3 linked regions of the Oryzias latipes genome follow. The protein of the gene in region 1 interacts with the protein of each later gene in a pairwise test. Links are inferred from orthologs where the notes say so. Each region holds a gene or a part of one and is shown in the gene's direction. Other genes may lie near its edges.

Region 1 (9,803 bases):
AATTTTTTTAATTACAAAGTAATTAGAACTTAACATCAACAGGGAAATTCTCTGTTCTGCAAAATCCAACATAAAGTTAAACATTCAACATTAAAATTCTTGTTTTTTTTTTACTTTTCAGTAACTTGCAGCCTCTTTCCTTAAGGGGTTAGCTTTTAAAATAAAGTCCCTACTCTCTGTGGATGGGTGCTTGCTATGGGTTTGGAGAACCAAAGGCTGTGTTTGCTGTGCTGGCTCCTAAACTCTGGAATGAACTGCCGTCGGCTTTAGAGAGGCTTCCCTGTTCCTCCACTGCTCTGCCTTCGTTTCTGACCTTTAGACTGTTTCTATCCTTGGATTCTTTTTTTTATTTGTATTTAAAGCACTTTGGGCCTCCTTGGATGGTGGTGGAAGGTGCTCTAGAAATGAAAAAATGGAATGAAATGAAAATCAAAATCAGTTTGAATTTAGTTTTTTGTTGAGTTTTCTTCTAAAAAGGAAGGGAAAAAATGGCAGCAATTCAGAGAATCCGTCCTGATGAAATCGATCCAAAAGTACTTAATAAATCCAGAAAGGGAATAGAAACAATCTATGTGTGTTCTAGATAGCAGAACACACACAAATGGGACAATACGTCATGAAAAATCTGAACAAACCTTCACAAAGTTAAAAGGGTCAAATCTCTGCTAAAGATTTACATTTTTCTTAAAAGAAAAAGAACAAAACTTGAAAAAAAATTTTTAAAAATGTATCTTTTAATTTAAAATCTATTGTTCAGTATTTTGGGAACAGTTATCGTTTCTCCTGACTCAACTTCAGTGTTGGTTAAAGTAGGGTTTTCTTTCCATAACCCCCCCACAGGTGGGGCAGCAGAACTGCAGGTGGGTGGGGGCCGGACGAGGACGTTACCTGGTAGAAGCCCTGCTCTCCCTGCATGCTGTCCATGCTGCCCGAGAACGGCATGCTGCCCTGCCGCCCGTACTCCCGTTTCAGGCCGTTGGGAGGAGGAGGCGGGGTCTGGCTGAGCGAAATCTCGCTGTTGGACGACGGCAGACCCGGTTTGTGGCCCGCGGAGGAGGGGGTTCTGCGGGCCAGAGTCTCCTTCCTGTGATGGATCAACTTCCTGCGACACAGAGGAAAACCCAACGTTTGTGCGGAGGTCGACGGCCCCACGTGACGTCCGTGCCTTCAACTCACTGCAGAACGTCCCGCTGCTCCAGATTGTATTTGCCGCCGTTTTTCAAGGCCACGTTGTGGATTCCCTCAATGGCTCTGTCGATGGACAGCAGCACCTCATCCTGCTCGGGAGCCTGAGACGGAGAAGAAGAGGGAGCAGATGAAGGAGCTGAATTATCAGGACATCATTTAAGGGCTTGAACGCCTTCTGGCCAAAAGAAATGAGAACAGCATTGCAACCGTCATTCAAACCCTTGGGCTGTCCTGTGGGGTCCAGATGACCCCACTCTCAATGTTAACGTGGGGGGTTAAAGCTCTGTGATGGTGGCAGAGGAGAGCATTCCTCTTCTGCCAGTGTGAGCAGGCCCGTCTTCCACAAACGGGCTGGGACCGGTTCACCCAACGCCTGCATCCAGACACAGGAGGAGTGACTCAGAGGAGACAGACGGCTGATTCTGAAATGCTGTTGGCAAAGATCCCAGATCCATCGGTGAGCTGTTGTCTGGCCCCAAAACCTCTGGACGTTTCCTGACGTCGTTGATTATAATCAAGCAATCATAGGAAGATAAACAAAATACAAAGATAAAGAAAAAAAACTAACTCTGTTAAGACATTTAGGCGTAAATTTGAAGAAATATATTTTTGTTGCAGTAAAAACTGGATTTTAAATGCAACCTTTAATTAATATTTATAAATAGGAAAAATAAAACAATAAAAGAAGTTTCATTTAAGGTTTGACATCAGATTTATCTGAATATTTTTGATGTCATGTCCAGAAACGTCATTTTTACTATTTAACAGTTTTTTTTATTTTGCGGAAATTCTACATTTACTACAGTAAATGGTCCAATTCACAACCTTGTTTTACTTTATTCTATTTGGTCTTAAAATCATTTAACACGACATAGGAACATATGCAAAATATGACGGCTACAAGAAACTGTCATTCTATGTTTGTCTTTGCATTTTTAGTAAGACCATGAAAACCTCCAGACTGATGATTTTCTCTCTGGGTTCTCTCTTCTTGAGCTTTTTGCTTCTTCTTCTTCTTTTGGTTTTTGTAATTTCTCTTTTACTTGTGTTTGTGTGTGTGTGTGTGTGTGTGTGTGTGTGTGTGTGTGTGTGTGTGTGTGTGTGTGTGTGTGTGTGTGTGCGCGCGTGTGTGTGTGTGTGTGTGTGTGTGTGTGTGTGGGTGTGTGGGTGTTTCTGTACAGCACCATGAGCTGTTTTCTTTACATGAAAGGTGCTTTAGAAATAAAATTAGTTTGAATTGATTTGATTGCTGATGTGCTGCACAGCATTTGTAGGGCTTTCTTGACCGATTGTCAATAGCCGATTGTTAATAACGTTTTTGGGAGGAAACTGTAAATGGTGTTTATTTTTATTACTCAAAAATATGTATTTTTTGTTGCATTGTATTGTGTAGAATGAAGTACATAAGTGAATGGCAGCGTGTCACCTGCGCAGTGGCAAAAATAACCAAACTTCCCAGAATTCCTTGTTTTGCGGCGCGTTTTTTCCAGCCGGCTCGGACACGGCCTGCTGCATCTCCGGGTCCGCCTTCACCCCCCCCGTACTGGCGGTCAAACCCCACCGCCTCGTCGGTGTCCTCACCGGCACCGCGGGGTCTGTGGCGTACACGTACCTGTATTTTTTCGATGTACGAAGAGGGGATGTATCCGGTCTCCCCCGAGCTGCAGCGGGATCCCAGCCACCAGTGTTTGTTGCTCCTTTCCAGGATGAGAAAGCTCTCTCCGGCCGCGAAGTACAGCGAGTTGGGCTCCGTGGATCGGAAGGGATACAGAGAGCGGTACATGATTCCCTACAGCTCCGTCAACGAGCGGCAGAAAAGCTGTGCGGGAGAAAAACTGAGCCCTAGCGGAAACGTTTGCTGTGCTGTTGGCGGTTTAAAGGGACTAAAAAGGCATGTCTGCAGAGGCTCGCTGAAGTCTATTTACAACGGTGGGGTCACCTGACCGATTAATACCAATACACGCCACCAGAGGGCGCTGTGCTCGAAACGCCCACCAGGCACGCTAATCAAAATCAGAGCGACTCTCCAAAATATTCCAGATATACTTTTGCAAAAGAGTCTAATTTCTGGTATTAGGGGCGATTTAATTATCCATATTATCTTTGCACTTTCATTTTTTTCATTATCTACAGTTTAAAATGTTTATAATTAACCTCAAGATTGAAAATTGTCCAAAGATTGAGGACAACATTGAACACCCCTTTTCTCAGACTAATAACATTAATGGATTTTTGTGATTCACAAAATAACCTCAAATTGATTCCCCGTCAGACTGGTTAAAACTCGTCACATGAATTAATTTAACTGTTTTATTTTATGAATTTGTTTTTAGTGAAAAAGTGAGAAGAGTTTGATTGTGCGGTTCTCGACACCGACGCTGGTGTCACACTGAAATCCTTCCCCCGTGTGTGTCGCCGGTTACTCCATCAGACATGACACCGACGGTGGTGTCACACTGAAATCCTTCCCCCGTGTGTGTCGCCGGCTCCTCTCAGACATGGCCGCAGCAGTTTGCAGCAGGTTTCTGCTGCAGAAGTCTTCTCAGGGCCTCCTGTTGTCCTTCAGGGCAGCACCTGCTTTCTCCAGGTACTACGGGGGTTTCTGACTAATCTTAATAATATAAATATAAAGCTTTAGAGATAAATAACTCTGACTGTGAGATTCTGATCACGTGAGAACATTTGGCAATGACATTTAAACTTGTGTTGTGATGAAACAAGATGAAGGGTATGGATGGGATAGTGATTGCTTAATTTCGGCTTTTCTTTCAATTTGCTCATTTTTTTTAAATTAATTTAGTAAGCAGTCTCGTGAGCATTACAAATAAACAGAAAAGCTTCATAATCAACCTTTTTTTTTTAGTTATGAGAACTTAAGCGCCCATTATGCTGTTAAATTTGAGAATTGGTTTAGAATAAGTTGTCATTGTGACAATTTTAACATTTGTGAACCTTTTTCATATGTTCAGTCCATCTCAAACAGATTTTGCTGATTTATTTTAGTACTTTTCTTTCAAATTAATGTCTTGGTTCCCCTTGATGTTTTTTTTTTTTTTTTTTTAAAGAATATATAAAATCTAGTTGGTGTGTTTTCTTTTAAAGACCCACTTCGATAACAATTATGTTTTTCTTGTCTTTAACATGTTTTTGTGGTATAGGACATATTTTAAGAAATTAAAAAAGTATTTTACTGAGCGTTTCTTACTATAAATTGTTGTGAATCAGGAGCAAAAGAAAGTGTCGTTTCCCAAAGATCATATTTGTGGTCTAGATGCTGCGATTGGTTCGACACGAGCTTCCTGCTCTGCTCCATTCTGATGCAGACAAATAGATCCACGAACGTCTTTGTTTTCCTCATCTGAGTTGGATCCAAACTGAACGACTGGACAGCTCCGATGTTGGTGGTTATTTCTGTTGCATTAGTGATGTTAGGTTAGGGTTGTGCGGGGCTGTAAGCTAGTGGAAGGGTGGACACAGAGAGCTCTCAGCAAGAGGTAGAGGCTTAGGTAAAACTAGGAATTGCATTCTTTTGCTGCCTTCAAATTGTATTTGTTTTCATCTTCTTCAGCTTAGTTATCTTGAAACAAATCAAACGTTTTAGCAACTTTAGCGACAGTTTAATTCCTTTAAAACATCTGAAGTGCTTAATAAACCCCAAAGCATCTCCAGCCAATAGTTTTGTTTTTAATTCAGTCGTTTCTTGGTGCAGCCCATTGTTGTCTCGTGCGTATCGGTTAGAGCCTGGAGATGATGAGTTTTACCAGCGAACCACGGTGTCCATGATGAGGAAGGAAGCAGACAATGGGATCCTGATCCACAGCTACAGCCCAGCGGGCTTCAACGTGGATGGAAACCGCGTGTTCGGACCCTGCGCCCTCCTGCCTCCCGCTATCCTGCAGTGGAATGTCAGACCCAAACCCACAGCAAATCCAGACTCTGCATGTCGGCGAGAGATAATTGTTGGCTCTTCTTTCTGCAGGTTGGCAGTCACAAAGACATCACAGAAGACAGTATTTCCCTCTTCCACATGCTCGAGCCTCCAATAGGTACAAATGAAAAACGCTGGGATGAAATGGTGATGTGAAGGAGTTGTGCTGTTAGAAAAGCTTCAAACTAACCAGGGCTTCAACATCATTTCCTCCACACATGAACTGTTTGATGGTCAAATTATTCTTTAACCTAATTTCATTTTGACAAAGAAGGCTTTGTAGAATCCCAAAACGACCCAAAACAGCTTCGTATTAAGATGGAATGAAATGCATTAGGTTTACAGTAAGGAAAAGCAGAACTAAAGTTGCTGAAGTAGAGCATGATTACAATTCTGACGCCACAAAACCCATTTATTCACCCTCATTCTAAAATGCACTTTCAAAGTCCTCCACCCCAGCTGGAGGAGACGTGACCCTGCATGAGGACACACCCACTACCATGAAACTCAGATAAATGAGGCTCTTTTCCCGTTCATCCAGAGATCCTCGTGCTGGGGACGGGCTCCAAGCTCCAGAGAATCGACCCGTCTGTCCTGGCTCTTCTGAAGCGTAAAGGCATCGCGGTGGAGGTGCAGGACACGGTAACAAACACACGACGGAAAGATTTGACCCCAAACAAATGGAGCAAAGGAAACATCTTCAATTGGACTCTCTTTGCAGCCGAACGCTTGTGCGACCTTCAACTTCCTGACCAGTGAGAGGAGGCTGGTGGCCGCTGGTCTGATTCCTCCTTCTCCCAGCACGGCTCTGGAGGTCCCTCCATCCTGAGAGTGGGATGTTTTCAGCTGAGAGTCAGGGAAACGAAAACTTTCCTTTGACATATAAATAGCTCTTTGTGTGGCAAAAGCACCATATTTTCAGTAAATTCCTGTAGTGGCAATTTTCTTTCTTGTTTTGACTTGATCTAAGATGTTTGTATGGATGTCAAATGTGTAAATAGGGTCTATAGAGGATGTGTGCAGGTGAAGTGCTGGTGACTGTCCTGGATCTGAATAAATCCTCTTTACCCCGTGTGTTTGTCGGTTCCCATATGACATCGTTCAGAGGCTTTGTCCTTCTCACACATAAGCCTCGCAGAGAGGAGAATCCCCAAATCCTCTACACATCGCAGCCCTTCACCTCTAATCATCTTCCTCGTGTCCAGAGCCCGTTGGGATGTTGCATGAAAGTGCATGAAGCCCTCAGCTCACTTTCACCAGCAGATTCTGAAGAAAGCTTAAAGCAAAGAATGACCATGGCCTCCTTCAGGAGAATGTGCCAGAATATTGAAATAAATATTCTGCATTTTCCTAATTTCCATCCAAATCTAAAGGAAGGTCTAAGAAGAGACAGCAACACCTTTTATCTGATCGAAATCTTCACAAAAGTTTCATTCCAAAATTTGTTTTTTTTACAAAAAATAGATGAATGAAAACACATTTTTCTATTTGTGTCGGTTTCATCAAATGTTTTATTGCTCAGAGAAATGTGAGGAAAAAGCCCAGATATCTCAGTCTTTCACTAGAGAATGATCAACACAAAAACTACACAATAAAAGATTTGCTGACGTCCCATCAGGAGGTTTCACAACCGGACTTTACGGATTACATATATTCATTTTCTCCTGACAGTTGTCAACGTTGCCTTTAGAAGACTTTCAAAAAGATCAGGATTAAAATGAAACCTAATAAAAAGGATTTTTGAACAACACAAACAGCTTACTACATGCTTCATCTTCTGATTGACGTGTTCCTCAGTCGTCATCAGAGTTATGGGACTGATGTCGAGACTTCAGGAAGCAGAGCTGAGCCCCGGTGAGCCGATGATACAAGTCCTTGATGTCCTTGCACTCTGTCTCAAAATGGTTGGCTCCGTCGTATGAGCGGGAAACAAAAATCTGATGGAGAAAGTGAAGTCAAACACGACGACAGGCATGGAAGCTGCTGAATTTCTGTCACATTTTCTGTTCTGATGAAGTACCTGGCTCTTTCTGCCATCCTCGTTTGGAACCAGCAGGTTATTGACGGTTACAAATCTAGGATTCAAAGGGTTAAGGTGAGATTTTGTTGTGGAAATGACATAAAAGCAAAATAACAGATTTGACACACTTTTGCAGGATAGGCTCCAGCAGCTCCAGGCCCGGCTGCACCTCTTTCTCCGGGGTGATGGTCTCAGCAGTGGTGCTCACGGTGGCAATGTACAGTCCATCCGAGGCCACACTGTGGCTGTAGGACACTACTGATATGTAAATGTCTGCATGGACACAAAGAGGAGATCAGACTACCATGCAGACAGAAGGAGCGGCATCCGATTGTTGTCAGAAGAACCGCAGCTTGATGACTCTCATCCTCTGACCTGACTTCCTGTTGAACTGACTTTGAGGAAGGATGATTTGACAGGAGCTGGCATCATGGGTGTTTTTGACGGGATGGTTCAGCAAACATATGACTCTAATGACGCGTCCAATCTTCCTGACTCTGTTGGGGACATAGCTGGGATCACAGATGAGCTGTTTACAGTGGAACTCCTGATCAAGGAGGAGAAAGGACACAACTGGTGAGCACACAGAGACTAGAAAAACCAGAAGAAGAACCTCTTTTGAGACTTCACCTTCCCCTCTGACTTGACAGCTTTGACTTTGCCGTTCTCCATCACGATCTCATCTATGGTCCTGTTCATCAGGAAGGCTCCTCCATACTCTGCACTAAGCCTGAAACACAAAGAAGCAGGCGGCTTACAGAGGAGGCATCGTCTGAGCTACATCTAAAGCAGGGCTGGGCAATGCCGGTCCTTCCGGGTTTTTGGTGTTTCCTTGCTTCAACACAACCGTGACAAACATGACTGTGTCATCAGCAGACCTTGGTGATGTGGGGAGGATGATTGTTAATTAAAATCAGGTGCGCTGAAACAGGGAAATATCTTAAAGCTGCTGGACTTTGGCCCTTGGGGACCAGAATTGCTCACCTCTGATCTAAAGGGACATTAAAACCTTTAAGAAAACCTAAAACAAGGAACGGGATGAAAGGTTACCAAAACACGCGTTAAAAAGACAGAACAGGACAACCTTAGAAACAATAAAACAAGAGTAAAATCTTGACAGCATATGTGGTCAAAAGTTTGGATGTTTCTGTTTTTTTCATTTTTAAAATGTTTTGTTCATGTCAATTCTTTTGTTTTAATTACTGTAAACAGATTAAAAATGTTGGAGCCTTTATAACCAGTGGTATCATATTTGATCACACATTCCTAAGACCCCGATCTCATTAGAGGATCCAAACTTTCCTTTAAAAAAGCCTCGTATGTAACTTGTTCCATGTTTTCTGCCCTGCAGTTCATCATCATTCCACTAGGGGCAGTAGTAGGGCTTTGTGTCCTACTAACTTCAAAATGGCTACTGCCATTAAATCTCAAAATCACTTTTAAATAATAAAAAATTATGATGGATTAGATTTATCTGCACTTTCCCAGACGCTCTAAGCGCTTCATTCACTCCTCATGTATACTTGGTGACGGTAGAGGCGGCGATGCCAGTTCATGCCTATGGTTCCTCTGAGCATCGCCGGGGCATTCATACGCATTCACTTTTGGCGGGAAAAGTTTGGCTAACTGTCAGAACGTTATGGTTAGAATAACTCATCTATTGTTATTCTTTTTTTAATTACTGCTTTGAAAGAGCACAACATGTGTTGTTAATTATTAATTATCCAGTGACATCATGTTAGAAGTTCGTAGATCACATTTGAGACAGCCGGTAAAGAAGCTGCCTTTTTTCTGTAGTTTGAACTAACATAGTTGCAGTGGCGGAGCTAGAACATATTTAATGGAGGGGGGTTTTAGAACGGTGACACGAGAAACGCAGATTGGAAGGCCATTACAAGTCAAACGATAAAAAAAATTCATTCATTATAGGGGGGGGGGGGGGGGGGGGGGGCTCAAGATTCCATTTAAAAGTAGGGCTGAGTGCTGCAATGCTTAAAGAAGCTAGTTTCTATGATTTCTTAATCTTTGTCAATAATGATACTAGTATTGACACAAAAACTGGAGTCAGGTGGGGGTGCTAAGCGTTTTTTGGGGTATGGGGTGGGCAGCTGCCCCCTACCCTTCTCCCGTAGCTCTTCCCCCTGGAGTGTTGTGAATAAAAACTTACCAAATCACCCAACGGATCGAAATTAATGAGCTATATCGCGCACGGAAAAAAAAAATTGTTGGAAATTTCTTTGTGGATTTCTTCTACAGGTTTGAGAATCAACTTAATCAACCAAAAATGAGAATTTTCTGTCAATTATCTGAGGTAGTGGGGTTTAAAGAGTTCATTGTTTTTCCTTTTTGTGATTCAGCTTTATTTTTCAGGTCATATTTTTGTTGTGGTTTGGTTCCAGCTCATCAGAATGTGAATGTTGACATTTCTGCTGAAGCTACAACAGGAAAGCCTCTGCAGGTGCTGTTAGCGATGTTGTTACACTGAACAAGAAGTGAAAGTGAAATGATTCTCATAAATCACAAATGAGGAAATCTGTGTCTTCTGGTTGAATAACGTTATGTAACCCATACAAAGTTAGGCTGAAAACATTCCTCTTTGGACAGGCTTATTGCCAGACTAGCTAGAATTAGAGAATATTTAACTTACTGTTAACATGTTTAAATTAA
Region 2 (9,968 bases), on another chromosome or scaffold:
TGGCAAATATCGGCTGTCAGCCACAGCTGCAGGGGAAATATCGTTTATCGGTATCGGCGAATAAAATATCAACCCATCCCTACTTAAAAAACTAAAAATACTTGTTTCAAGGAAATGTGTCTTATTTCCTGTTTTGCAAGAAAAATAATCTTATAAAGAAAGATTTTCAATTGCAAAATGATCTCAGAGAAAATACGTCTTAGTGACTAAAATGTTTTTTTCTTAAAATAAAAGACCATTTTCCTTAGCAGATGTTTTGCTTATTTATTTTGGACTTATTTTTAAGGGCCTTCTTTTTGCAGTGTTCATCCATGAGGGAAGTGACAGCATTTAAGACCAAGCTGCTTTTTCTTTTCTTAGATTTTTTACCACAGAGCTTTGAATATGTTTCTACAGAAAAAACTGATTTTTCTGTAATATTTTTGACAATGAAAAAGTAAAATCAAAAGCATGAAGTATAGGGACTTTTTCCTAAGGAAAAGGCTTCTCATCCGTCATGAGATTGCAGCTTGTCTTTCAGTCTTTGGGTTTACTTGCAGCTTTGATCATTATTGTGTTTGTAAAAATGTTTTTTTGGGTCTAACTTGAGTTATGACCAGAAAGAGCTGGTTAAGTTGTTTATTTCAATTTTCTAAAGATGGCTTGCTTGTTTTTTGCTAAGAAAACAAAAAAATTGGGTCATTTTTGTGTCAGAAGTATTTACTGTATATGAGAACTGGACTGAGTGACCTTCCCCTCCCCCGGCGTTCCAAACAGGAAGTACCTACTGGCTCCAAAAAGCCAAAATCCCGTAGACTTTTATAGTGAAATAAACAGCTGTTATTGTTGACTATTTTATTGTTCAGAATGACCTTTCTTGGTCTTAATACCTTTTTTTCAAAAAACATGTTCTTGATAATCCTATTTTTTTTGTGGTACTTTTTTCTGTAGATCCAGTCATTGAAGTTATAAGTGACAAATCAGATGCCTCAAAAGTATGTGTCCGCTGGCCCCCACGTACAACGTTACACATTTGACAAATATTGGCTCCAACATGGATTTGTCCATATTGGGAAAAACGGTGCCTGGATTGACTTGATTGGGTTGGAGTTGGGGGGTAAGGTATTTACTGGTTTAGTTCTCTGAGACAGTCGATGTTCAGACATGATGTGGATCTGAAAGAATTGAATGAAACCTCAGCACCAATGAGACCAGCTGTCATGCTTTGAGTTGATGTCTGCTTCTTGTATTGGGAATTCTATTTATCTATCTATATACCCAGGCTGTGTCCAAACAAAGTGGGTTAGCCTAGACAGGGCACACATTCTTACCTCCCTCCTTCTCTTCCCCAAACCCTCCTCCTTCAGTGTGTGCGTGTGTGGGTGTGAGACTGGTCTAAGGCCTGGTCTAAGCCACACCACACTGCACCAGGGTCAGCTGCACAGCCCAGTGTGGGCACCTCCACAGCAGGGCCTCAGCCGAGGCTGGCTTCCCCTTGCCGCTTCATCCCAAGACCAGACCTCTACCACACCCATCCATTCATTCATACACAAACTCTCTCCACCCATCCCTGTCCTGAGCAGCCGCTCTCCCCTCCACCACAGTCATCCCTCTTGCATTCAACGCTCTTTTTACACCCCCTGTCCATCCCATTCGCGGTCTTCCTCTCATTCTCACTCCACTCACATCAGATGATACCTTTTTCACCAATCGCTCCCTTTCCATTCTTTCAACATGTCCAAACCATCCCAATGCCTTTTGCTCTGCTCTATCAGCCAACTCTCGCATCACACCAGTTGTCTCTCGGATAACTTCATTTCTCACACGATCCATACGCGTCACACCACACATACTCCTCAAACATCTCATCTCAACTACATTCAGCTTCCTCTTTTCCGCCACTTTCAGACTCCATGTTTCAGCCCCATATAACGCTGCAGGCACCACCACACCCCATACAATCTCCTTTTCGCATCCTTTCCCAGTGACCTACATTCAATTTGGGAATTACATTTGGGAATTACATTTTAAAAATACAAATTTCATCTTTACTTTCAAGGCTGAATTTTGAACTTCATGTTTTTAATTCAGATTAAATAAAATAAAAATGTTTTTAAAAGGAAGTTTGAAATACTTAATCCCACAAATTCTAACAAAGTATTTTGTTTTTTCACCCAGTTTGGGGTCTTTTCATGCAGAAGGCAAACACCAATATTGTTTGTCTTAGCAGTCTGAGGGAGACAAAGTGTGAAAGAAGAGGCATACGCCATTTAAATCTCAACTTGTCCTTGGAAGAGTGGCCTTTTTTTGCTCAAATCCTCAAATTTAGTGCTTGTCCAGGATAACACAAATGATCCTTGGCAGTGAGTTGAGGTAAAGCCAGATCATGGTTTACATTAAAACTTTCTGGAGAATAGTTTACAGGGACCTCAGTGTCTAAAGTTCAGCCACTGAAACCCCATCACCTCATCTGATGGTGTCTGTTCTGTAGATCACGGAGACAATCACAAATGTTAATATGTTAAAGCAAGATGAATATGTATATATTTTTTGTCTCTTTTTATATTGTCCATGAATAAAATGACTATACATAGGTGTGCATTCATAATTTTCATCACATGAAAAGGTCTCTGAGACTGGTTCTGGACACTGATACTTTACATCACTGAAGACACAACAGTTGAGTCTTAAATTCATGGTTAATGTTGATGATCAGCCCGTCTTAGAGCTTTTCTTTAAAGGCTAACTTGTTGCTTATTCTAAACATTACTGTAAAAACCCACTCAGATGAAAATTGTGTTCTTGGTGTTTTAATGTGTTCTTGTGGCATTTCTCTGATGAAGAAACCTCTTAGGACGTGGCATCAGCGTGGACATCACATTTTAGGTTATACTACCACAGTAGTTAATTCTGCTTAACTAGACTCCTGTGACTACATGTTTAGAGGGTCGGCTTAAATATTTGCTTGGGTCTTAAGAGGAGAAAGAAAATTAGGTGAAAAATTGTGTTTCTGGGTATGTTCTTATTCAAATCATTGTGAATCTGGAGCAGTTGAAAAATAATTATTTTGTTCTGTAAAAACTACGCTGGGTGGGCCTCAAGTTTTTATTGAGATTGCGCCAAAGCTTCATGAAGCATCAGGCACCACTGTTGCACTTTTCATTGTTGGAATAAAAACTCTGCTTTGGGAGACAGCTATGTTTTTTTTTGTTTTTGTTATTCCAATGCACACCAACTGATGCAGAGCTCAGAAGTTACTCGGAATCATCTGATATTGATCTTTTATTGACATCCATCATTCTTTGCAGAAAGCCCTTCCTCTTACAGAGGCCAGCTTTTCTTGTTGTTTTGTTCTCTGACCTTCATCCAATAAATGAAACCTTCCAGTGCTGCTGGCTTTATGTTGGTTTAAGTCTTATCCCTTCCTTTTAAACACACACGCATAGATGATTAGCTGTTGTTCTCAAGCATTTTGTATTAAATACAGATATTTTTTTAGACTAAAACAGTAACAAGTCAAGTCAAATCTATAGTCCGATGACTACAGATTTGACAACCCATTATTATAAGCCTCCAAAAAGATGAGGACAACAAAAAAGGATATTTCGAAATAACTTAGCTGTTAAGACTGTTGCATTCAAGCACATGCTTAAAAAGGTTATAGATAGGGGGAAAAAATGTGGTTAAAATGATTCCCGAGCAACTGAAATAACCACAGTCTTCATAGGTTTGTAAAGCACAGCCAACACCTGTAAGGACTGCTGCAGGAGTCGGACTTTCAAGAAACATTGGCTGTTCCACAACATGAACTTCATCTGATGCATTCATGGTGTCAAGCCAACCTAAACCCCCTTTTATGTCATATGTTGATCATTTGCAACATACCGTTTTAACATTTAACATCATCTTGAACAGAAAAAACACTGACGAAAAAGTTTTCATGTAATTGGAAATAATCCAGGTTTGAAGGGGTCAAACCTGACCCTATTTCACAGGTGTCTTATCTGAGGAAATCAAGACCTGTGCATCGCTGTGACCTTGTTCACAGTGATCCTTAGTTCATTTTCTAGCTACTTTAAGCACCGGCTCTTGATTGAAGGTTGTTGTATCCCTGAAACTGGTTGACTGGGGGGATACCAGACACTGGAGTTAAAAATGCAAAAACACTGAAGAAGGCCAAAGCTGTTATCTCTGCTTGGCCACAGACTGATTTTCTCCATGCTTTAATAAACGATTGCCATTATTCCAGGGGTCTATTTATATACTTTATTTATTCCTTCTTCCATTCAATTAATTAATCAAACTATGTGTCAGCCATTATAATTAATGGATTTAATGTGCATTGTGTGTTTGTACTATTAGAAAAAATTATAAAGTCAAGAAGATGGCATCATTTATTATTCTTTTCTTAGAAGATAATAAATCATTTCAACCTTAAAAATATTAGATGTATTTCCTTTTTTGTTTTGTTCTCTTTTTTATTTTCTTTTATTGCTGAAATAGCCTCAAATAAACCAAATCAATCAGGGTCTTCTTATGTGAGGAGTGCCTTTATTTTAGGGGGCCAACATTTCTGTTAAAATCTCTTTTTGTTAACTCGATAGAATATTTTATTCCATGCTGAGTTGGAGGATTATTTCTGTCAACATATGAATTCAAAACACATAAAATATAATAAAAAAAACATAAAACATAAAATATAACATGCTGTGCGTAATGAATCTATAATACATGACTTGTCTTTAAAACTTATTCCTGATTCTTGTTGGGGTGAGAATTGAAAACAAAGTCACCCAACCGGAAGGTGGCGCTGTCGTTTTCCCTCCAACTCTAAGTAGAACTTCCAGTTTGAATAAACTTTATTGACAATTGTCAGGGAGAAGTTATCCAACATGGGAGGTCGGATCGCCCGGTTGTTCCGAAACTTTAACCTGGAAAACCGAGTCTTTAGAGAACTTTCTAAGGAGAAGCCCACGGCGGCGCCCCGACACGCGGTTCCAGAGCCGCCTCTTCCCGGTTCGGACGGTGAGTGGGCCCAGCTTTCTCTGCCGCATGTCATGTGTGTCTCTTTTCCCTTCGGGGTCATGATGATGGAGGAGCCGTTCACCTCTCTGCTCTCCTTCCAGTCTCTGAGTCGGTTCGACAGAAGAACGAGCCGCTCCACGAACTCCTCCGGTCCGTGTACGTGGAGTCCACAGACCCGGCTGCCACAGCAGAGGTCAGAGCGTCCGGTTCTGTTGGTTCTGAACGGTTTAGGATGGTTTAGATGAGTCAGTTTAGTGTTTTCCGTATGAAATATTTTTTAAACCTTTAAAGCTCACAAATTTACGTGGATACTTGGGCAGACCTGCGACTACTCCGTATCGCGAGATTCCACCTGAGACGGTTGAATTCCAGCGGTACACCTCGAGGAGGCCCACAACAGAACCAGAACCCCGAAGACATTTCTGCTCCCAGCTGACCTGGAAATGTCTCAGGAGGTCTGAGCTTCCTCTCTGAGTCTGCTGCACCCAAATCCCAAAGCCAGGAGAAGAGGAAGACAATGGATGGACCATCGCTTCAATTGAACCCAACACTCACACTCAAATGTCAAGTTAACAGAGCAAAAGGCTGCTGATAAAAATGTTCACCAGTGTTGGCAGGAAGAGAGAATGAAGAAACAGAAATCCTCCAGAAACACAAAGGGGTTTGATGAACTGTAACACTTCATCTCAGTGAAAGTTATGCATATTTTAGATGGGAACTGTAGTAAAGAAGGTGTTTAGAGTCCCACTCCGTCAGTGTTCCCGGTGGTCCTTTAATCCTGATTATGCTTTTTTTAAAGCCAAAATGTCATTTTCAAGAACAAAGTTCATCAGAAACTGACTAATAAGTTGTAGGCGGGATTGTCTGTGCGGAAGTAAGCCTCTGCCGATATCCCATGTTTACACTTTTTCCCACTAGCTTACAGCCCCTCACAACCCCAACCTAACATTAGTGGTACAACAAAAATGGTGAGCAATATCAGAGCTATCCAGCTGTACAGTTTAGATGCCAGCTCAGAGAAGGAAAACAGAGACGTACATGGATCGATTTGTCTGACAGATCAGAATGGAGCAGAGACTGGAGACTTTGCCCCCGCCCCTTTCAGTTGCTTTGTCATAACTGACAGCCTTTTCAAATGGTGTTTTTTTTTTTGTTCCGGATCAGCAACGATTTGATACTAAGAAACATACTTTTGATCTGAATATTTTTTATATATGTCTTCCACCAAGAGAGAAATGCTGCAAGAATATGGTTTAAAAAACACAATTTTCATTGGATTTGGGCTTTGTGGATTCTGCTGGCAGCATTTAGTCCTCATCACCCACAGCCTCCACCAGGGGGCAGTCTGCCAGTGTGAAAGAAGGAGAGCATGCGCCATCAGATGTGAAGGATGTTTAGATTCCTGCACAGACCTGTGGAAATTATGACCAAGCAGCATCTTTACATATCCAGGTTCCATCCTGCTGTGACGTGAGGGGGAGAAAAGATCAATGACAATAATCACAGAAAAAGTTTTTTACCTTATTTGCTGTCCTACCAGGAGTGTTTGGGTCTGTGTCCCGAGGCTATGGGGGACTGCAGATGCCCTGCGAAATTCAGCCAGCCTTGTTTTTCCCCCGCAGGCGTTGAAGGAAGCTCCTGAGGCTCTGCAATCCGAGAGGAGGCCCACGCGAGTCCACATCCCAGGATACGCGTACGGCCTCACCAACGTCCCCAAAGGCAAGCTGACCATCGCAGAAGCCGTCAAGGCCCTCGGCAGTCACCAGCACCAGCCTCAGACGTGGACGCCTGAAAAGATAGCGCAGGAGTATTTTCTGGACTTTAAGGACACTAAAGCTGCTCTGGAGTTTTTTGTCCCCTTCAAGGTCGAGATCATACCGCCCAAAACCCGAACTGCCAATCAGATCAAGGCGTCTTAGGAGGCAGTGGAGGAGGAACTTTGACCTCATTTATTTATGTCACTCAGTGTTTGGTGTAAAAAGTGATTTTCTGGAATACTTGAACGATGTCTAGAGAGTTCAGCCATTAAGCTCAGATCTCTGCTCTTCCTCTGTAATTCTACTGGTTCCTCATATTCAGAAATAAACCAGTTTAAACTCAGATCGGCATGAAAAAAGCCTTCAGATACATCCAGATTAGGCCTCATTGATGCAGCTCCACGGGAATTTTCTGCTGTTTTATTTTTCTTCTTCAGGCCTTTTCATGTCATCGTGTCTTGTCCGTTGATGAGTATTTCCGTCCACCTGACTGTTCAGAGAAACTTCTGCTCCTGTCCGGTCTCCACTGAGTCCGGTTTCAGGCTGGACGGGTCATTTTGGACCCAGTCTCAGTGTGAAAGTGAGCGGACGACTCTGTATGTGTAGCTTTGGAGTGTAACTTCAGGACTCTTTTCTGCAGCAGTTGATCTTTCTCAAACCGCTGCTGCTGCTTTAGTTGTATTATGTCGAAAGAACGTTGTTGAAGCAATTCCACTCTTGTCCTGAAGGTGAGATCTGTAGTCCCACAGAGGTGATTGACTTTCAAATGAACCATTGCCCATCTTCTACAAGCTCGCTGGAGCAGAGGTTCTGCTGAAAAACAGCTGCAGAAACTCCATAAACTTCACGCTGGTACATTTTTCCTGAAGTGGCTGATAAATTTGCTCGACAAAAATCGGGGATCCTGGGTCTCATCCATGTGCAGCTTTGGTGCATCAGGATGTTCACGCAGCAGGAAGATATGTTCAGACGTGAAGGAGAAGGCAACTACAAATTGAAACACTGGGAGTGAATTTACAGATGTGGAGGTGTCCATCGCATTCATGCAATTTTTCAAAATAAAAGAAGTATCCATGTGGGGCTTTTTTGCTGTTTGAGTCATTTGCTGAGATGAACTTATAACCAGGGTTCAACAGATTCTGGAGGGAGCACTCAACAAAAGCACGTGTGTTCCTGAGTTACAGTTTTCCCTAAAAAAAATCCCAAATTCGAGAGCAAAACTGGAAACAGAGACCTGCTGGTAAACAAGAAACAAATGGAAAGAATGGCAACTCATGTAAGGCACAAATATGGCAGAGGGTGTTGGTTTTTCCTGGGAATCAAATTCCCAGACTTGGAAAATGTCTACAGTCAATTAAATACAGAAGTAGAGAATGGAGTTTGTCAGTAAATATACACCAATAATACAGTTAATTTGTCTTTCGTATTAACTTTTGATGATTTAGTATCGGCTGATACATAGAAAAGGTGCTTCTTTAGTCTCCACATTTCCATTTTTCATCTTCTGCAAACATCCTCGTTTGCCCAAAAGGAGCCCTTCCTCCCGCCAGATGAGCCCTTCCTGTGCACTGGAGCATGCGCAGACACGCATGTTCCCGAAAGACTCCACTGCTGCCAGAGCCACTGGCTTCTGTGGGTGTCAGTTCTCACGAGAGCAAAGGAGAGTGAAGTTAGTGTGGAAGTGGGCACGTGTGAGCGGAAGCTTTGGGACGTTGCTTTCACAGTAAAACATTTAAAAGAAGGGGACAGTAGTTTGACAGTAATGTCAATTGTTTTTATATGTTTTCGGAATTCTCTTGATATATGCATTTATTATGATTACAGTAAAAAAACAGTGATTTAGAAGACAAGACTGTTACCCTCATTTAGCCATTAGAGACTTCCTCACATTTAGTTGTTCTTTTTTTCTATAGAGCATTTACTTTGGCAGCTGAATTGTTAACTGCAGGTTTATTTTTAAAAAAAAAAGTTTTTTTTTTTTTTTTATTAAAGCAGGCACTGGACATCAGGTTACACGGAGAAAGTATAGCAAGTGCTTATTAAACAAGAGGCTTTTGCAATGAATTAAACCAACTGGACAGAAGGGGTGAAGAGAACGGATTGAAGTAGTTGTTTTATTTATTATTTATTGCATTGATTGAGAAACTGTTTTGTTTCTGAAGTATGATTACTAAAATTTGATTTAACATTTATTTAATTTTTTGGTCATAAACATTCCTGTTTTTCAAGTGTACCTGGATTAGACACAAAACAGGCTGCAACAAAAAGCTCCAGGGGGCTTCTTAAAGCCTAGAAATACTGGGATTAATAAAGGATATAAGCGGAAAAAGGACACCACAAGAAAGGTGGCGAGGACAAACCCAACGCCAGTCTGGACAATGCATTCTCACAAATTGGTCACAAATACATTAATTATGGTCTGAACAATCGAAGTGTTGCACTCTTCAGTTTATTTCAGGCATCATAGCAAAAGCTTTATCCTATAAATTTCTCTTATTTCTCTATAAATTTCTCTTCATTTTTGTACTGTTTTAATATAGGCTATCAAAGTGTTTCATTATGTAACTAAACTGATAGAAAATGTGAGATGGATTTGTTTTAGGCCAAAGTATTTTACTTTTGTGGGCAATGTTTACGGGATTTTTTTTTCACCTTTAATTTATATTAAGCCTAAGAGTGACCACAGCAGAAATACTTTCACTTTTGTACAGTTTTTAAGTCGTTAAAAACGCTTTCCTAATGAAATTCTTGTTGTGGGTCTTTTATTTCGAAAGTCCAGTCAGGAAGTGAAAGTCGGTGTTTCGCGCCGGCGTCACAAACACCGACACTAGTTTTCAACAATGTATCAGACAGTCGGAACATGAAAGGCTTTTGCTGCATTTGATGTTGGAAGTCGGCTCGCGCGTCTCACGTGGATAAAAGAAAACAGCGGAACTTGTTGCCGTTTACTCTTTGATGAACAGGCGGATGAATCTGCGCCGCAGGAAGAAGCAAAGCCTCAAAATGCGAGCGCGGATTTCACATCGCCGTTTGTGTAGGTGGAGACACCCGCGGACGCCGCTCCGTGCCTAAAAAACCCCACCAAAAGGCCCGGATCTGGGATCAAAAGTGGGGTTACTTCGAAGAACGCCTGGTTTTTCTCTGCAGGCGGAGGAGGAGGCAGCTGCTGGTGCGACATGGGGGAGTTCATCACTTCCAGCAGGGGAG
Region 3 (10,133 bases), on another chromosome or scaffold:
TAATGTTGCACAGAATTATCCTGCAACTATGGACTCTGTAAGAGCAACCATAACTCATTCAGTCCTTCAAAAGCATTGGGAAATGGAACTCATCTTTGACGTTGCAACACTACAACAATGGTCCTTGTGTAAACTAACTGTGTGTAAATATATCTTAACTTAATGTTTTTTTTTTTTTCCTTTTGAAATACTGTTTTACCACCTGTGTACAAAATGTATGCCTTGCTCTTTTTCTTTTCTTTTTTTTGATTGAACTGTTTAATCATTCCTGGGCTGTGAACTCTCACAATCCTCCCAAACACACAAAAATAAGCATGTAGTCCCAAAGGTTTGCTTTTACCTGAAACTGTTTTATTTTTGTATGATTTCATACAATGAAGATTTTTTGTTTTTCTTTTTAAATGAACCGTGAACAAGTTAAAAGCAATATTTTATTTTGTTTTTTGACTTTATTGCACTATAGATCTTCACAAAGCCATCGAACAAACACGCAGTGCCTCTGTCGGAAGGCAGCAGTGAAGTGCTGTGGTTACAGTTTTTGAATTTCCTTTGCCGTTCGGTTCTCTGCGGATGTTCTCATTGGTTCCACAGTAATGCGACGGTTCACGTGAAACTGGAATTCTATTTACAAGTCTTATAAAAATTCAGAAGCGATCTTGCAGTTTTGTTTTATTTGAAGTCAAAGAACACATGGCAAAGAAAAGCAGGTACTGGACTTCTTTTTCCCCATACTGGACAGTATTGTCAGCAGGTTAACTGTAGCAATTCCTGGATCTTCCAACAGTATCACACAAACCTACAAGAGACTGATTTCAAATGTCAAGTATTTTATATTTCCTCTTTTAAAGAATATTCTCCAAAATCCTGAAGTGACACATTTAATTTGCAATACAGTTAACCTTTTTGAAAATGAACACAGGGTGTCAGTGATTGAGGTGGATGTGAACAACTGTGTATTTTTAAAATGTCGGGTGTTATCCTTTTGCAAAAAACTTTGGACTGGGCAGAAATTGTTTTTTTTGTCAGCCATAAACTGCAATAAACTTACTGTAAATGGTTTTGGTTTTTCTTTAATTCTAGGATTTTTTGAAATATTTCCAAACAAATGTAAAAGATGTATTTCAAAATACTTTAATCTACAGGTTTCCACTTTGGGGAACACCGTTAAAAGGCCTCTGAAATGACCTGTTGCACATGAACCTTTGAGTAGAACAGGCTAAGATAAGAGGTTGATCTTCCTGCAGCATCACCCTTGCTGCTCTTGAGTGTGTGTGTGGAGCAACACGGCCTGTCCAGCCAGACCAGCTTCCACCCCTCCTTCAGGAACGACATACCGGCTCCCGTCGTTGACCCTCTGAGGGTCCATGGTCTTTAGCTGCTCATTGCTCTTAATAACACAGTCTAGGCTCCACAGCTGGTAGCGCAGGCTTTTCCCCTGCTTGGCGAAGACGTAGGCCTCTCTGAGAGCTGGGTTGCCAGCAGGACATGGAGAACTGCTGCTGGTGGCGAGGTGGAGCCACGGCAGCGTTGGGTCTGGGTGAGTGTGCTCTTGACTGAAACTGGCTTGCTCCAAACCAACAAGAACACCTAAAATCAAAACAACTCCCATCACAGGTGATTTTTTTAACAGTGCTTTCAGAAAATGAATGGAAATGGATTCAATAGAGGATCCAGATTAAAATGATGATTAGACAAGTTTAATCCAGTCATCAAAAAGACAAGGACCAAAGCAGCAAATGGGTTTGTTAAACGTATCTATCTGCTATAAGACACTTGCTTTCCATTACGCATCAGGTTTGTTGGTCAGCACCTCATCAGTGAGACGTTCTATTGAGTTATTCAAAAATGCTCATATGGATAAAGAGGAATTTCACAAATTTATCTTTGTATAAGTCAAATTTATGGAGAAATCTTTAATCATTCTGCAATGTTGTACTTTCTAACAGTGGCTTTACCTTGGGGCAAAAACAAGAGTTTTATTTTAATCCTGAAAATGCACAAAAACTACATTCTTGATAGGGTTTTAAAAAAATTACACCCACATTAATTAGAAGTTCTCCTTGCAATCTTTGGGTGGATGGACAACCATGGTTTTTGAGATTTCAGGTTTTGATTGACTCAACACACGCAAGTCACGTCTTGCTTGTTAAGGAAACAGTACTAACTGTTTACCTTTTTACCGCCTAAATTATATTCATTAGGCCTGCAAAAGCAAACATTTTAAGAGGATCTTTTATACAATTCCTTTACTAAACTAAAGCGAACCACCTAATTTACCTGAAATGACAGCCCAGTGTGCTCTGTGACCGCTTCGCTGACACGGTTCATGGTTGAAGTCCTCATCATAGCTGGTGGGGCATGTTGTCAAGAAATGTTCTGCTCAATCAGAATGAACCGTTCCTTGTGGCTTTTTCTGATGTGCAGGATACGGGATGAGAACAGGCTGTCCTTTCCACAGGTGTCTGATGATGGTTTCTCTGTTATTCCCATCTAAGCCTCCAGTGAGCAGTTCAGCCTTACAACCACAAGCCTCTTCTGCCAGCAGCGTCATGTTGTGGGCTGAAGAAAACAAGGAGCTTCAGCCAAACACATAAAAGAAAAAAAACATCTTTACACATAAACATTGTAATAATATTTTACTGTAAGCTCTTGTGGAGAAAAAAATAATTGTAAATATTTAAGAAACAATTTAACCAATATAAGTTTAAGTTAAATGTATTAACTGACACCTTGTTTTATTATTAGACACGGGTTATGTTTGACACATACATAACCTGTGTCTGAAAACAAAACAAGCAAGAATTCAGTTAACTACTACAGACACTATGAACTGAATTACTGCACTCATATCCAAGTTAACTCAAAGAATTTTAACTTTTAAACCTTATAATTTCATTTCTCTTTCAAGGTGCAGTGTTACCTGAAAACATTTCCCCCTGAGCAGTGTATCCACTGTTCACTGCTGTTTGAACCAAAGTCTTCATGTCCAAATCCAGCTTGTCCTGCTGGAGGTGAGCGGCCATCCACAAGGCCACAAGCCCACACCTGAAACATTCACATTCTCACTCGGTCAATTGGCCAAATATTTGAATCCAAAGATCGTTCTGACATGATATCCCCTTTGGAGTCTAAAAATTGGTGCTATTTATTCCCGACAGCACAGTTGACTGACTTACTGAGGGCCATCCTGAATGAGGGAAGGCACATACGTGTTCATCAGCATCCACTGCAGGTCTTTCCTGAATCTAAAAGAAAAATGGAATACATTAGTTTAAAAAAAATGAGATATGTGAGCTTCAATAACAATCCAGGACTCAAATAAATACTTTGGATTGGTAGTGAACCTCCTCACCTGCTCTCCTTCTGCCTCAGCAGTAACCTCGCCTCGGTGTATTGCCCCTCTACAGGGCTGCTGTTATTTGCTATGATCTGGTACAGTTTCTTCGGTGGTGCTGAAGTTGGTGGAGGAGGAGGCGGACAAGCAGCCAGTGGAGGAGGTGGAGGAGGTGATGACAAGCTGCAGTCCACCGGCATAGTCTCAAAATCTTTCTACTCTGTCTGATCAAAACCAGCTCTGTTGGGGGGAAAAATGTACCTCCATTGATTTCTTTAATAACCACCAGGGAGAAAGTTAAGTACCATTAAAGTCTAACATGGGGCTCAATAACTGCTTACCTTTCACTTCGAGTCGTTTGCACACAATCTAAAAAGCTCGATGTTTACCTAAACATGTCAACCTTTGGACGAAAAAGATTTGACATATTCTTGCACGTGGTAAACAAACTTTTCGATTTAACTAGCTAACAAGCTAGTAGCTAACGCAGCTCCGTGCTCATATTTGGACATACTCGCTCTTCTTCGTGTGTGCGATCGCTCTGTACTCAACTGTTACACCACCCTCCAGTGAGTGATGATGATCATTCCATCACTAGTCATCTACAGTTTAACACACCATTTACACACATACCGTACAATGTATTTGGAAATAAAGTTGAAGGCACAAAGTTAGTGACAAGTCAATCCACAGTCAGTGTGTAACAGGACAAGCGAAGTTTTTTTCGCTTGTGTCTCTGGGTTTTTTTCTTTTTCTTTTACAGATTTTTGACATTTTCTTTTAATCTTTCCTGTCAAGATACGATACCACACTGATAGGACGATTAAAATATCTTGCTAACGCAAATACTGAAACAAATTTCGTTTTTGACCATTGACTGAAAAGGACCGCAAATACACTGGCTTTATTTCTATTTTTTATTCTTGTTTTATTTATGTATTTATTTTTACTGTTACTGTATTGTTACTTAGTTTTTCCCTCTGTGATTGCTTTAATTGTATATTATTGAACAAGATTCGTTTTAACAATCGATATTGCTTATAATTTTGTTCTTAATAGTTTTCACAAGGTTAGAGTGAGGTGGAGGACGATGATTCGCTGTGGCGACCCCTGATGGGAAAAGCCGAAAGAGAAAGAAGAAGTTTTTTACAAGGTTAAAAAGATTTTTTTATTTATTCAGAACGTAATTGTATTCTTTATATTTTACTGTTATAAATGTTGCATTTTTGTATTATATTCTGCAAATGTTCAATAAAAAAGAGAAGGACCGGAAATCACGTGCAAGTTGGATTTATCGCGAGCAGATGATACGGAAATTGTAAAGGCAGGTTTTTCATTCACCCATCGAAGTGAGCGTTCCTTTCGCGCCGAGCGGTGGTGGGTTTTTTGTTAAAACTGATACTCAGGTGCGGTTATCCGGTGTTTTTTCTCTTTTATAAAACCAAATGTCATAAGGTTACAGATAGTTCGATTAAATTAATCATTTATTGCTGATTTGTCTCAGTTTATACCGAGTTTTAAGCTTTATGCTAGTAATGCCTGCATGCATTCAGGGTTGTTTGCTAGCGCTAGCTGTTAGCCTGCTAACTAGTTGATAGCATTCAATTCATTTTATGTGACATGCTTTGTTCTTTTCCAAACAACTCTTCGTAGATTTTAAGATGACCACTCCAGAAGTACGACCCAATCACACCATATATATCAACAACTTGAACGAAAAAATTAAGAAAGATGGTAAGTTTTTTAACTTCTGGCCTTTCTTTGCTTTTTTGGTCGAAAGAACGATGTGGTGATAAATGATGTTAATTCAGATCCACCACAGCTTTTTATTTTCCTCTGTCTTTATTAGAACTGAAGAAGTCACTGTACGCCATCTTCTCGCAATTCGGTCAAATTTTGGACATCCTCGTCGCACGAACCCTGAAGATGAAGGGTCAGGCCTTTGTTATCTTCAAAGAGATCAACAGCGCCTCAAATGCACTGAGGTCCATGCAGGGGTTCCCTTTCTATGATAAACCCATGGTAAGTTAAACGTTGTTTTAATTTCCTCCATGGTTTTAAATTTACAAATATCGTCCTGTAAAATGTTAAAACTCAAATCAATCTTAGTTTTCAATATTCCTCTCTGCTGTCATGTGTTGTATAGTTTGTGAAATGTTTCAATTCCACAGTGTGCATCAAATGAAGGATTGATCTTTGTAAACTTAGAAGTGCTCAGTGTGAGAGGATCACTGAACACTTAACACTGAACACTTTTTAATGGTTATTAAAAATACATTTAAATAACTAGTAGGTATAATGGATTTTTTCTTTTTTTTAAGCACACTTGGTATAGTAATGCCACATATTTAAACGTGTCTTACTGCAGCGCATTCAGTATTCCAAAACAGACTCGGACATCATAGCAAAAATGAAAGGAACCTATGTGGAACGTGAGCGCAAAAAGGAGAAGAGGAAGCCCAAGCCTGAAGGAACAGGAGCTAAGAAAGCTGCTGCTGCAGCCATGATGGCTGGTGTGCCTACTGCTATGCCTGTAAGTGGGAACGTTTACTGTGACCAGAATGACATGGCAGCTCTTACTCGGACAAGTTAAAAGTGGAAAAATACTGTCTGCAAACTTGCTAAGTTTACCATAGCGATAGGTTGTTTGGAGATTTTAAGCTAAAATAACAGCAATTGATGGAGAAAAAGTTTGGTTTAAAAACCCCACAGAACATAATATCAACCTAGCAAACATTTAGAGGACCATGAACATGTTTACAATGTGTCATTCTCTAGGGAATGCCTCCTATGAGCCAAGCTCCCCGTATGATGCATATTCCAGGCCAGCCGGCCTACATGCCTCCTCCAGGCATGATGCCTCCCCCAGGAATGGCGCCTGGCCAGATCCCCCCAGGTGCAATGGGTCAGATGATGCCTGGCCAAATGCCTCAGCAGGTAATGATTTTTGTCCCCCTGTTCTTTACATGTTTAACCAAAGATGAACATTCCAGGTTTTGTTTCTTTTTTGTCAAACATTTGCCTTCTCTTACAGGTTGCAGAAAATCCACCGAATCACATCCTCTTCCTCACCAACCTGCCAGAGGAGACGAACGAGCTGATGCTCTCCATGCTCTTTAACCAGTCAGTATTGACTTGATAATTGTTTTATGCTTTGACTTTCTTTTCTGCCCAACATATCAAAGACTGACCGTGACCGTTTTCTGCGTTTAGGTTCCCTGGCTTTAAAGAGGTGCGTCTGGTCCCTGGTCGCCATGACATCGCCTTTGTGGAGTTTGATAATGAGGTTCAGGCTGGAGCTGCACGAGATTCACTACAGGGATTCAAAATCACACAGACTCATGCAATGAAGATCTCATTTGCCAAGAAATAATGCCAACACAGGTTGAAATTTGTAATTTGTTTTTTTCCTTTTTAAGTGGTGGAAGTAAAAGGCGTTTTTTTAATAAAATATTTGTTTTTTTCCCAGATTACATGTAAGTATGCTTTTTCTAAGTCACTTTGACATGACTTTAGTTTTAAAAAGTTTGAAAGCATTGCACCCAGTGTCTGACTTGTCAGACATTGTACCTGGAGCTTGGTATTTGTTGTTTTGTATTAAAGTAATTAGATTACTTGATTGATTTTCATTATTTCTTGTTTATGGATTTTTTTTTGGTCATCTAAAACTTGTATTTACTCCATCCTTCTCAGACTGGCACCTACACAGCTTCCTGCAAGGGGTGTAACAATTAATCAATGTATCGATTTATCCAACCGGATCTGAGGCAAGTTCGTAATTAACCTATAGCATTATAAAATCCTTTCAAAATAATATGAATGAATGATAATCGATCTCGGAAAATACTAGTTGAACTGAGACATGATCGTGTTTTTTTTTGTTTTTTTTTACCATAACTATTAGTAATGAATTGTTGTTTACTTGTTTTGTACACATTTATTTACACTAAATTATCTTGCAAGAAATCCAAGTAATCTGGTAAACGTCACTTTCACTGCACAGCACCCTGGTATTTATTATGAGATGCATGGAGTTGTCCTGGATTGATTTTAGGTCATAGGATCATTCAAAGTACACATATCTACTATGAATCTTGTCGGCAACCACAAACTGAGCCGAATTATTAAAATGCATTGGTACACCTCTACCTCCTGCCAATTCGTTTAAACTGTAGTGGGGTGTTACCTGGTTATCACACTTACCTGCAAACATGAAGTCCAGAGCCTTTAATTTGTGGAATGCAACATCAATTTCACAGAAAATAATTTAAATTCTTCAACCAAAATATTGGATATGATAAATTTTACCTTGGCCCTTGAATAATCTTTATAAATAAGTGAGGACAATCTATTCTACCTGTAGGTGGAATCCATGAATTTGGTTTAAAGAGCTTAACTTGGACTTACCTCAACTGTTCCAATGCATACAGTGTTCCTGCTGTGGGCTTTAACTAGGCCCTGAATATTTGTCCTCAAACTACAGTCAGGACCATAAATATTTGGACAGACTTTCTAATTTAGTTTCTGTACATTACTACAGTGAATTTTAAGTAAAACAACTCAGATGCCATTGAAGTGCAGACTTTCAGCTTTTAATTCTATGGGTTGAAAATAAAGATTGCATAAAAATGTGAAAAACTAAAGCATTTTTAAACAATCCCTTCATTTCATTGGCTTGTAAGTAATTGGACAAATGAAACTGAAAACAAAATGGTCATTACTACTATTTGGTTGAAAACCCTTTGTCGGCAATGACAGCCTGAAGTCTTGGACATCACCAGATGCTGGGTTTTCTCCTGAATGCTCTGCCAGGCCTTTACTGCAGCGGCTTTCAGTTGCTGTTTGTTTGTTGGCCTTTCTGTCTGAAGTTTAGTCTTTAACAAGTGAAATGCTGCTCAATGGGGTTAAGATCAGGTGACTGACTTGGCCATTCAAGAATTTTCCACTTCTTTGTTTTAATAAACTCTTGAGTTGCTTTGGCTGAATGTTTTGGGTCATTGCCCATCTGCATTATGAAACGCCGCCCAATCAGTTTGGCTGCATTCACCTGGATCTGTGCAGACAGTATGTCTCTGAACACCTCAGATATTCATTGGGCTGCTTCTGTCCTGTGTCACATCATCAATAAACACTAGTGTCCAAGTGCCACTAGCAGCCATGCACCCCCAGACCATCACACTGCCTCCACAGTGTTTTACTGATGATGTAGTGTGCTTTGGATCAGGAGCTTCTCCACGCCTTCTCCATACTTTTCTCTTGCCATCATTCTGGTAGAGGCGTATTTTGGTTTCATCTGTCCAATGAAGAACTGTGCTGGCTTTTTTTAGATGCTTTTTAGCAAAGTCCAATCTAGCCGTCCCATTCTTGAGGCTTATGAGCGGCTTGCATCTTGCAGTGTACCCTCTGTATCTACTTTCATGCAATCCTCTTTTTATGGTAGACTTGGATATTGATACGCCTACCTCCTAGTGAATGTTGTTCACTTGGTTGGCTGTTGTGAACGGGTTCCTCTTCACCATGGAAATTATTCTACGATCATCCACCACTGTTGTCTTCAGTGGACGTCCAGGTCTTTTTGCGTTGCTGAGTTCAAAAGTGCTTTCTTTCTTTCTCAGGATGTGCCACACTGTTGATTTTGCCACTCCTAATACTGTAGCAGTTTCTTGCATGTTTTTTTTCTGTTTTCTTAGCTTAATGATGGCTCCTTTCACCTGCATGGGGAGCTCCTTTGACCGCATGTTGTCTGTTCACAGCAAAATCTTCTAAATGCAAGCACGAGTCCTCTAATCAATTCCAGGCCTTTTATCTGCTTCACTCATAATGACATAACAAGGGAATTGTCCACACCTGCCCATGCAATAGCATGGAAGTCAATTGTCCAATTACTTACAAGCCCATGAAATGAAGGGATTGTGTTTAAAAATGCTTTAGTTTTTCACATTTTTATGCAATCTTTTTGTTCAACCCATAGAATAAAAGCTGAAAGTCTGCACTTCAATGGCATCTGAGTTGTTTTATTTAAAATTCACTGTGGTAATGTATAGAAACAAAATGAGAAAGAATGTGTCTCTGTCCAAATATTTGTGGTCCTGACAGAAGGTATGCAAGAAGTCATGCCTGTTACTTCTCCTTTAGATTTTTTTTAAACTTGCATTCCCGTTTACACCTTTAGGTTTAACCAGGCAGTTTGATAGCATACAAAAAAGTTTGTCTTTAAAGTTACGTAAAGTAAAAACTTAGTTTTTTCCCCTAAAAACTTGCATTCTAAATTAAATAGCTAAACTTTCAGTTTGCTAAACCGATATGTATTTAGACAGCAGTTACTTCACATTTACTTTTGAATTGCGTCTTATACCACTGCTCTCTATTTGATTAACAAATTGAATTTCTTGACTTTGGCTTCGGAACAAAGGATCAGCCTTCTCGTAAAATATTTGGCCGCCAGATGGCGCCAAATGCACACCTGTTCATTTAGAGGCTCGGTTCTGAATCCAGCTGTTGCACAGTTTAAAGGTGAATATCAGGTGCGCTTCACGCGGCGCTTACAGCTCGCGGCTGAGTGTTTCCGTTCTGGTTGGACGGAATTCATCTGATGATGGAGGTCACTGCTCCTCTATGCTAATCAGCGCCGCGCTTCTCAAGAGCCCTCTGTTCCGCTCCAGGGGTCACGGCTGAGCGCCAAGCCGCGGAAACACCAGCGGTTGTCAGGGAAGCTCTTGAGAACAAGCCCGAGATGGACTTTAAGGAGGAGGAGGAGGAGGCAGAATCTCATTAGGTGCCCTCTGATAAAGAAGGCACT

Evidence for each region.
Region 2: the proteins of ndufaf3 (region 1) and ndufaf4 interact in binary tests that used the Homo sapiens proteins (3 or more experiments, as listed by UniProt). The two-hybrid records come from large-scale screens. The link is inferred for Oryzias latipes from reciprocal best matches to the Homo sapiens genes NDUFAF3 and NDUFAF4.
Region 3: the proteins of ndufaf3 (region 1) and snrpa interact in binary tests that used the Homo sapiens proteins (3 or more experiments, as listed by UniProt). The two-hybrid records come from large-scale screens. The link is inferred for Oryzias latipes from reciprocal best matches to the Homo sapiens genes NDUFAF3 and SNRPA.

What each region holds. Positions count from the first base shown.
Region 1 is NC_019863.2:1,713,081-1,722,883, reverse strand, and holds ndufaf3 (NADH dehydrogenase [ubiquinone] 1 alpha subcomplex assembly factor 3), read left to right. Parts: upstream 1-3,672; 5' UTR 3,673-3,775; intron 3,776-4,926; 5' UTR 4,927-4,967; coding exon 4,968-5,093; intron 5,094-5,167; coding exon 5,168-5,234; intron 5,235-5,657; coding exon 5,658-5,758; intron 5,759-5,837; coding exon 5,838-5,945; 3' UTR 5,946-6,190; downstream 6,191-9,803. Other genes in the region: nckipsd (NCK-interacting protein with SH3 domain), read right to left, coding at 889-1,102, 1,177-1,289, 2,801-2,971; rab GDP dissociation inhibitor beta, read right to left, coding at 6,910-7,053, 7,137-7,191, 7,265-7,409, 7,512-7,683, 7,767-7,866. UniProt on the Homo sapiens protein: Essential factor for the assembly of mitochondrial NADH:ubiquinone oxidoreductase complex (complex I).
Region 2 is NC_019882.2:21,367,795-21,377,762, reverse strand, and holds ndufaf4 (NADH dehydrogenase [ubiquinone] 1 alpha subcomplex assembly factor 4), read left to right. Parts: upstream 1-4,827; 5' UTR 4,828-4,871; coding exon 4,872-5,004; intron 5,005-5,105; coding exon 5,106-5,197; intron 5,198-6,626; coding exon 6,627-6,923; 3' UTR 6,924-7,841; downstream 7,842-9,968. UniProt on the Homo sapiens protein: Involved in the assembly of mitochondrial NADH:ubiquinone oxidoreductase complex (complex I). May be involved in cell proliferation and survival of hormone-dependent tumor cells. May be a regulator of breast tumor cell invasion.
Region 3 is NC_019871.2:13,955,075-13,965,207, forward strand, and holds snrpa (U1 small nuclear ribonucleoprotein A), read left to right. Parts: upstream 1-4,658; 5' UTR 4,659-4,740; intron 4,741-4,987; 5' UTR 4,988-4,995; coding exon 4,996-5,068; intron 5,069-5,183; coding exon 5,184-5,356; intron 5,357-5,702; coding exon 5,703-5,867; intron 5,868-6,112; coding exon 6,113-6,271; intron 6,272-6,368; coding exon 6,369-6,457; intron 6,458-6,547; coding exon 6,548-6,707; 3' UTR 6,708-6,718; intron 6,719-6,803; 3' UTR 6,804-6,953; downstream 6,954-10,133. Other genes in the region: c13h19orf54 (UPF0692 protein C19orf54 homolog), read right to left, coding at 1,247-1,587, 2,278-2,348, 2,430-2,559, 2,921-3,045, 3,177-3,245, 3,353-3,534. UniProt on the Homo sapiens protein: Component of the spliceosomal U1 snRNP, which is essential for recognition of the pre-mRNA 5' splice-site and the subsequent assembly of the spliceosome. U1 snRNP is the first snRNP to interact with pre-mRNA.